2 linked regions of the Drosophila melanogaster genome follow. The protein of the gene in region 2 interacts with the protein of the main gene of each other region in a pairwise test. Each region holds a gene or a part of one and is shown on either strand. Other genes may lie near its edges.

The links. Proteins that work in one complex are often made in the same cells at the same time.
Region 1: the proteins of Pdha (region 2) and tn interact in a two-hybrid assay, tested with the Drosophila melanogaster proteins (one large-scale study listed by BioGRID).

Annotation. Positions count from the first base shown.
Region 1 is NT_033778.4:18,985,595-18,990,383, reverse strand, and holds the start of tn (thin), read right to left. Parts: upstream 3,041-4,789; 5' UTR 2,693-3,040; intron 1,001-2,692; exon of another isoform or gene 696-1,000; intron 609-695; 5' UTR 518-608; intron 1-517.
Region 2 is NC_004354.4:4,700,588-4,705,781, reverse strand, and holds Pdha (pyruvate dehydrogenase E1 alpha subunit), read right to left. Parts: upstream 3,458-5,194; 5' UTR 3,251-3,457; coding exon 3,191-3,250; exon of another isoform or gene 3,091-3,190; coding exon 2,890-3,090; intron 2,228-2,889; coding exon 1,663-2,227; intron 1,588-1,662; coding exon 1,265-1,587; intron 1,195-1,264; coding exon 1,012-1,194; 3' UTR 517-1,011; downstream 1-516. Other genes in the region: CG7024 (uncharacterized protein), read right to left, coding at 96-218.

The sequences.
Region 1 (4,789 bases), on a different chromosome or scaffold from region 2:
GCAATACGAACTAAAATTTCATATTCCATTCAAAAAGTTGTCCCTAAAAGTTACAATTAAGCTTTTTCTCAAACATGTTCAAAATATCTATCTGTATCTATTAACTACATATAATTGCATTCGGTAAGTAAGTAGGTTAAGTTCCCTACACAAACATTTGTTACTTTTACCAAAATAATTCTATCCAGTTTCGCAGTTTTTTTTTCTGTGCATGCTTCTCAAGGTCAGAACTTCGCTCCTCTAGCTCTGTATATATCATTCTATCTCCCTATGGGAATATGCCGAAAATAGAACTCACTAGCCCGGAATTCACAGACTGCAGTCTGCACTCCTAGGCCAAAAAGAAAAACAAATAAAGAAATGAAAACTGCACTGTATTTTTGGGCTATAAATAAACGGAGCAGACGGGAGAAGCAGATGCAATCGAAACTTTTTGAAATTTTAGCTGCACTCCCAAAGGAATACTATAGAAACTACAAAGTATTGTGACGTTCCAATTTCAGCGGTGATAACTTACGTTTCCAAGTGTTGTTTTCTTCTTATTGTCTACTTGGGTATCCGAGGCGCCCTTGAAAGGGGCCTGTTCCTTTGGCTGTTAACTCTGCTGGCTGAAATTAAAAAGAAAATATATTAAATTTAGAGCCAAAGGCAATTGTGAGTGAATTGTGGGGAGTGAGGGTCGAGTAGCCATTTACCTGGCCATTAACACGCTGCGCATAAGCCGCATCATGCCAACTTAATTATACGGCCTCAAAGGCTGCGGCACGCAAAACAATGATGAAGGCGGGTGGTGAAAGTTGGAATTCATTGGATGGCATGGGATTGGATGGGATTGGATAGTATTGAATGGGATTCGATTGGGCGCGGTTGACAGTCGAAGATAATGAAGTTCGGAATGCGCTTAAGGTTCGCTTATTGTGCACTGCGACAGATAAGCTCCTCGGTGGGCCACACACTCTTGACCAGGTTAATGAATAATCAGCTGGGGTCGAGCATATGGCTGCGAAGGTAGATCTTTTTAATTAACTTGCCGTGGCCGAGTTCCTTTCGACCAAAGGAAACAATTAAACAATGGAAAACCAATTTCCGAAACTATAATAACATGATTACATCGGCGGTCTTTTGAGCATCGAACGCGTAAAGGGAATTTAATAGAAATTAATTGTTCACACAATTGCATTGATATCCCTTATAATTAATTTTCTTTAATGAGCACAATTCGGAGCTTCATTGCGTTACTAAAATGATACAGTAAAATGTGGCATGAAAAATTATACATCAATTCATACATTTTATGATGATTTCGTTTTTAGTATTATTGCAGATTGGTTTTATTTGCAATCACTAAGCTTTTGAATATAGCAATATTTAAACATAATACAGATTTCAGCAACCAACAAGTTGACTTAAAACAAGTGACTTAAAAACTTCAATAGCTCGGAAACATTTGGAATATTTTTCCATATTAGATTTTGGTAATATAAATGCTATTTGTCTGTTGAAACAAAAACTTTTCAACAAAAAGGTGTACAACTTTATGTAGTTTTTAAAATACCTTTAAATGAATGGATAAAGAAAATGAGACAACACTAAGAAATCATAAGCAATACATTTACTTTAAAGTTGCCAACGCGCTACTTTCGAGCAGTTTTTAATTTAAGTTGCAAAAGTGGCCAGTAAATTCGAATCAAAACTAGTTTAGGTGGATATCTATTGCCAGCGTGCTGCAATGGCACTTCTTTAATGCTGCCAGCGACCTTGAACTTCCGCCCAGCTGAAGCACACTCGAAAAGAGCGGAGGAGGGATGGGGTTGGAGGGCAGATGAAGTGAATTGAAAAGAGGCGAGTGCTCGCAATAAAGCTAAAAGGAAAACTGGAAAAAACTGTTGCCTACTTTCCGGCGGCACATAAATTTAAACCGCACACGCCTCTCTCACTTAATCTTCCGTATTATTTTTATTTTTATATTTCGAAACGAGAAATTAATTGTTTTGTGTGAGAGGTGTGAATATAAAAATAAATACGAGAAAGCCCACCACAAACATTCCAAATGGATGGCGAGAATGGGAGAAGGAACAAGCAAAAGCAAAACCGAAACCGAAACAAAAGCAAACAAAGCAATCAATGATAAGCGAGCAGCGGGCAAAAGACAAACACAAACAACAGAAATGGAAATAGAAAATCTCTGAAAATGTCGCTGATTGAATCGAACTAAAAATAAGGCAGCAACACGGCGTATGAGCAATGTGCGTCTCTGTGTGCGTGCCTGTGTGTGTGAGTGTGGGCAAATTATTGCCATGCTTTCTGATGAGATATGCACACACACACACACACACACACACACGTAATATAGCGTATAACAGATCCTCATCAACATATATTTGTATACATGATTATGTCAAAATTTGTTAATAAATTTTGAACGCGAAGCCGAAGGAGATGAAAATAATTTTGACAGCTTTTCACGAATGTGGGAGTGTGCACACGGTGGGATGTTGAGAAAGCGCAATTTTCAGCCAGGTGACATTTTCCCAAGCTCCTTCTCTCGCCGAGATTCTCACGCCTTTCGCCGTTTTCTCTCTTCTTTTTTTTACATAATCAGCAGCCATTGAATGCGTCGAGCTCATCTCCATTTGAATGCGTTTCCAAAAACGAGCTTAAAATCAGGACGTATCCACCCCGTTCGACTCACTTGCGTTGGCTTCCTCTATTTCCTGATGCTTCGCGAAACTTTTGCAAATTTATTCGCATGCCTTGGCGGCACAAGGACTTTCACTGACTTCACTTTCAAACTGAGGTACGATGTATTACCGCCTTGGCTCAAACCAACACTCGCGTCGCGATTACTGGTGCTTTTGGACGCACCCTCACGCACTGCGCGACAGGTGAAAGATCTTTGGGTAGATCTTTGCACCCCTCTATATACACTTAATAGATATATATATATGGATATAGGTGGTTGGGAATCGAACTGGGCTATAGCTATTATCGGCGTATCGGTCCGCACGTCCACTCGCGAGCGTGCCAGAAATGAAAATGAATGTTTTTCTCTGCTCGACTCTCGAACGCTTGATGATCAGCCGTTCTTGAGGTGAAATTTTATAAATATAACCTGAGGCAACAACAAAAGTGCCACAAATATTTCTGCGTCTTCTTCCCACTTTCACGTAGCACTTTTGTTGTTTCCCAGCTTCACCCGACCCCAACGAACCTGTGCAAGAATTATATACATATATACATATAATATAATATATGTACCATAATTGTCTGTAAGAATTCCTCTCGCTTTTTACAATGTCGCGCAGAAAGTCCAAGAGCGACAATATATTGTTCAATACGTATTCTTACCTGTTATTGTTCTGGCTTATTTCGCAGTTATTAGAGTGAGATTTTCACTTTTCTTTAGTCCAGCGGAAAGAAAAGCTGAGGAAAAGATCGACGCCCACGCATTTATCTGGCAGAATGATTCATTTTCGAATTTTTTTAAATATTTATAGAAATATTGATACTTATATAGAATAAGGAAATTGATGTCTTAGCAAATATCGCGCGAGTTTTATGTAGTTATAGAATTCAGCATAATTAAAAGTGTTAACAGAAAGACAAATGATTTAGAGATAGGTAGGTTTTTTACTCTAGACATCATAATAAAATATATACGCTTAAGATTTGTCATTGAATTATTAATATTTATTTCATCTTAATTTATTAAGTTCTGTTTCTAAGCACTTGTTTACGTAATATATATTAATAATATGCCTAAGAAGATCAACATTTGTTACTATGTTGTCTTAAATCATTTAGTTCTTTAATATTACTTATTTTTCGCTTATTATTCTATAAATACCAAATTCCTCTCCGTCATCACATGCAGTATGATTGGTCTGCATTTAGCCATCCTCGCCAGACATTCGGTCTTTTGTTCGGTCATTTGCTTGTCCCACATGACATCTTGTCAATAGGCTGATGAATCGGGTTAGCCGTTAATATATTTTCGGAAAAAATAGCGAGCTAAAACAAAGCCGCAGCCGCAGTCAAAACAAAAACAAACCGAAAAAATGCGAATTATGAGCGGGCCAAAACAAAGATGTCAACACGTTCGCCAAGGCAGCTCAAGTTGTTGACGGACTCTAGGTCAGTCCCACTGACAACGCCATAGCCACAGCTATATCCTCTATTACACGCTGAGAAAAAGTTACTAAAATGGTAACCAAATGTATTTTTTGAATATATATAACATACATAATTAGGTTTCGAACAGCATCTCTTCATCAATATAATATTTTGATGTCACTAATAAAAAGTTAAAGTGTGTGCCCCTCCTATTCGATGCTGATATAACGAAAATTATTAATTAACGATGTTCCTTTGAAAGTAATTAATTTATCAAACTGCTTTCCAAGAATTAACTAAGGATTCGTATATTTTCCATGTGCATGAGAATCACCGCTGGATTTGTGCGCAGTTGCTGGTTCTCGTGAAATTGAAATTGCGTATTGCGGACATTGCATTGTGAACACTGCAACAAGGCTATCGGAACGGCGACAATTGTATAGCACGAGTTAAGACCCATTTCCATTAGCGGAGCGTCCGAAATAGTGGCATCTATTCATTCCCAGCATATTTGAGAGCAACTCATTAGGCCCGAGCCATGATTAATTAGAACTGATGGATGGCCAATTGACGAATGGAAGGCATGGCTGCGGCGATGCGAGCCAGGAGCCAGCAGCCAGGACGCATTATTGATGGACACGTATGCTGGGAATCCGGAACCTCCAGTGAAAGCCAC
Region 2 (5,194 bases):
TTAATTCAAAATGAAAAATATAACTTTTACGATATAGCTTTTTTCAATGGTATTTACTTATCCATTGACCTTCTTGTGATAATCAAAACACTTACGTTCTCCAGGGTCAAACAGCTACATTTGTGGCGCCCTATTATCCTGCAGAGCATATTTCTCTCGAGGATGGAGTGGGCTCCACTGCATCTCATCGCCACGCGGACACAACTGAACTTCATCATTGGCCCTTGCCCGAATACCAATTCCCAAACACCGGGGCACTAAAATGAGCTTGTAGCCAAATGGGCAATTGCCACGCACTAAAATTTTGAATATGATCGGAAATTGTTGAAAAATGGATTTGTACTCAACCGAAAAGAAATCGACAGTAAAATCATAAGCAAATCGACAGAGATGGCAACTGTCACTAAACAGAACGAGAAGGAAATATAACGATTTTGGGATTGCTTATGGAGCTGACAACTGCTCCTTTTCAAATACTACTTTGATTCGAACTGTAATTCTTCCACAAATCGAATTATCTATTAAATCTATTCCGTTTATTAATATCTTATAAATCTATCAAAATTCTATAGTGCAAGTATAGGTGAAACAGACTGAGATTTTCACATTTCAAAAGTACATACTTGATTCACTTTTGTTAAGAAAACTAATTTGGATTAATTTTTCTAGATTTTTATATTTTCAACAATTTACACCTCGCTTTATCCTTATTGAACACGTTCGCAATATAATATCCAATGCAGTACCCCAGAGTTATGTGGTGCGCTACGATGTGTGGTTGGAGTGCTCCGATTAGCTAAGCTTTTTGTGGGTCTCTTCGGATCCGTTCCGTTCTACGGGGTTCTCATCGTTCAACTTTCGGCTTATGATCTAGAGATTTCGCTTGTGTCCAAGTTTCTGAGTTATTGTGTCTTCTTGTCTGTCTGTCAGTGATTTGTGTTTGCTGTTCGGTTTTCTTGTTTCGTTTAAGGTTCTTGTGAGTTCCCGAATCAGATTCGTTGGCCCGATGACTTAGTGATTGACGCCCTTGCGCTCCTGGATGTGATCAATATCGTAGGCGATGGTGCCGCGCAGCTTGGGCTCCAGATTGTTGGAGTACACGTCCGTCCAGAGGTGGCTCACGCCCAGCTCGGCATCGGACTTGGCGAAGGCGGTGGCCTCGTCGACCTCCTTGCGTACCTTCAGATCGATGGCCTGGAAGATGTTTTTTTCTTTTAGCAATCATAACTCATAACAAAAATAAAACCCTATAAGCCAAACCCACCTTAACTTCATCGGTGGTAATCAGACCCAGCTCGATGCACAGCTCCTTGAAGGAGGTGATGGGATCACGCTTCTGGCGCACCTCCTGGATCTCCTCGCGTGTGCGGTACGATGTGCCCGGATCGGACATGGAGTGTCCAGAGTATCGGTACGTGTTCGTCTCCATCACCAAAGGTCCGTGAGTGTTCACATAGTTGATGGCGAACTCGGTGGCGCTGCGCACGGCCAGCACATCCATGCCGTCCACCCAGATTCCGGGCAGAGCGTCGCCGCGGGTATAGTAATCAGTGTTGCAGGAAGCACGCTCAGAACTGGTGCCCATTCCTAATGGGTATAATTATACAACATTTGGTTTAAGTAAATATCTTTTAGCATTGTTCCACTTTCTACAGCACTCACCGTAGTTGTTGTTCTCGCAGACAAAGATCACAGGCAGTTTCCACAGGTAGGCCATGTTGTAAGCCTCGAACACCTGTCCTTGATTGGCGGCACCATCACCGTAGAGGGCCAGGCACATGCCGCCATTGCCCTTGTACTTGCAGGCCAAGCCAACGCCGGCACCCAAAGGAACTTGAGCACCCACGATGCCATTGCCTCCGTAGAAGTTCGGTGCGTACATGTGCATGGAGCCACCCTTGCCGCGGGCACAGCCACCCTGGACACCGGTGAGCTCAGCCAGTACGCCGCTGGGTGAGACGCCCATCAGGTAGGTCCATCCGTGGACACGGTACGCCGAGATGATGTTGTCCACATCCCGCATCGCCGCCTTCATGCCAACGGCGCATGCCTCCTGGCCGGAATACAGATGACAGAAGCCGCGAATGATCTTCTCCTTGTACAGATTACCGGCGGCCGTCTCCAACCGACGGATCGTCTGCATCTGTGTGTAGTACTTGAGGGCCTGATCCTTGGTCAGCTTCACTTCCGTGGCGGGTCCTTCGTCCAGGCGGTGCAGCTTGAAGGGCTGCAAAGTTGGAAAGCATATTTAGAATTTAGATCCCTAAACTTCATTAATTTTAAAAACGTTTTCTACTTTTACATTAACAACTGACACACACATCTGATAAGAACGTAACGGAAACGTTTGGAACGCATGATAAGTAATAAAATGATAGCAGTTTGATTGGATAAACCAAATAACCATAGGCTTCAAGCTTCTCTAATCAAAGTATACTAATCTATAGAGAGCTATAACCACATATCGAGGATTTTCGGAAGTATGCTCCAAAAACCAAATTTGGATTTATGGCGGCTAATTTATGGCGTGAGAATCGACGTAAACAGAGAGCCAGACAGACAGACGGAGAGAAAGAGAGAGAGGGTGAAAATCGGCGGATCGTTGATAAGACTATATGTTATATGGTGCGTGAACAGTCACGCGTCGGCCACGCAAAAGGCAGACGGTGATAAAGAGCGTGGGAGACGGAAAACTACAAATTACTGCGTGACCTTGTCATTTGAAAATGAGCGGATTGACCGGCAAAATGCAACCCTGCACTTACACACACACACACACACACGCAAACCGTTTGCTATCTGGCGAAAATCGCATTATGTAACCGTATTTTTTCCCTTCCGACTTTTGAATTTTCCTGAGTTACAAGTACTTAATGCTATAATACGCACCCGATTCACTTGAACGGTGGCCTCCGTGGCATAATTGTTGGTTTTCGAAACACCTGCTTGGGCTGCATTCTGGAATAAACCGAAAAACGACGATGAATATCTCCCATTCCTGATGATATCGATGCTGCTGTTGTTGTTGTTGTTGCTAAGTATCCGACATCCGCTGATGATGATGTTGTTGTTGTTGTTGTTATGGCAACGCTTTTAGTGTTTTCATTATCGAATGGATTTGTTCAATTGCATTTTTAGTGACAACAATTAGAAATGTTAGTGGGTGCAAAGCGGGATTGGGATTACGTACTTTTTGCAGTTGCTTAACAATAATGGGCAATTCGCTAACGCGTGACAGAGTACGCAACATTTTCGCTGTGTTATTCTCGTTCGACTGACAGAAATTGGATGTGAATGGGGGCTTTCTATATGCGGATTGTCCGGATCTAGAATCGCACGCTATATATCTGGTGTCTCAGTCGCACCGCCGCGCGTCGTTGTAAGTTAAACAATCGGAAAAAAAGGTAGCGAGATTAGTTTATCAACTACTATATTGCACAACTATAACAACCGTTTGGCGTTATAGCGAAAAATAACGCACCACTTGGCCTATTAGTGTGACCCTAAATAAAATACTGCAGCTTTCCCTGTTTTCAAAAAATACTAAATTAGCTTATCGAACTTTCTTTTTCAATATAACTTGAAATATAAATGTTTACGTAAAATATTCAATAAGCTTTTATATAATGTGTCACACAATGTTATATCAAAATAATAGTAGTGTTTGGCGGTTATTGAAATACTCGAATAAATACTTACTCAATCACATTTTATATTACTTTGCCGCCCAAATAAAACGAGGGTTTTCAAAGAAGTACTTTTATTTCACATTGAAGATCTCATTTGGTTTTTGTTTGCTTTCTCATTTCTTACTCGTATTGTTACTTGAAATTGCCTCCATAAATCCACATTTGCGATTGCAGTTGCAATTGCAATACTGCTCTATATCGCACTCAGCTCACATAATTCACTAATCTCTTACAAAAACTTAAGTAATGTTTGTTCCTTGCACAAAAAACCAGTTAAATAGAAATAGGTAAAGTAGAATTAAACAGTTAAATTCAAATAAACGCTTTACAAACTAAGATTTTAAACTAGTTTTTGTATTTGTTGGTTTCTCGGTTTGTTGTTTCATTTTTTTTTTTTTGCTTTAGAAATGGCAGCTAAAAGATTTGAGTTTAAAAGTTACTAACGGAAAATGAGGAAATGGATCGATCGTTTGGGAAAAACTAAGCGAATGAAATAAATTTTTTACTTTCTTTTATCTATCTTTTGCTCTGTTACCGTTACACATATTCAATTTTTCGCGCGTTTTTCTGTTACATCAAAAATTGGTTTCTCACACAAATATTTTGCATTATGACAAAAAATTATGCTTTGCTTTGTTTTTTGTTTTGTTTCATATGTATACATGTACATGTATATATATATATATTTGTATGTATAAACACTTATTAGAAGTCCTGTTGTGTTTTTGTTTCCTTTCCCGTTAGAAATCCGGCATTCCGATTATAAGAAAAAAATTTAGTTTTTCTCTTCGTCTTCTTGTTTTTGCGAGTGCTTGTGTGTGTGTAAGTGGGGGAGGTGTGTGTGTGTGTGGGTGAGAGAGAGAGAGGAGGTTCTATCTTACCGTTAGCATAAATAGTTTTGTGTCTACGCAAAAACGTGCTGAGCAATAATCTAAAACGCAATAGCTAAAGAGAGAGAGGTGCTGTATGTGTGTGAAAAGTAACGGTAAATGTGTGTGATTTCTGCATATGTCTTCTGTTGTTTTCAGGAAATTACGTATTAAGCTTCTTATTTTTTTTGGTTGTTTTTAGTAGGTTTTACTTAGGTTCTTGCTTAATTTACACCAATGTTTACTTTATTTTGTATTTCTTGCATGAATATATATATTTACTTTTTGGTTTCCTTGTTTCTTATTACTGTTCGCTTTCATTCCTTGAAATTTGCCTTTAAATTGTTACTGTTCTTCTGTTTTATATAACATAAATCCGATTCGGAGAAACACATAGCACACACTTATATAAACGACAAGATGATAATTATTTATTTTGTCTTTGCTTTTGCTTTCGACTTTCTCCGCCTTTTTGTTTTATTACTGCTTGCACACCACCCTCATGACCTCCCTAACCTGGTTTTGACCTAGAAAGTCTTAGTTTTAAAATTCATTAGAATAATCAAATAAATAATAATTACTATGTTATATCAACTATTATAATTCTCCCTATCTTTTTTAGGATTAAAAATCTGT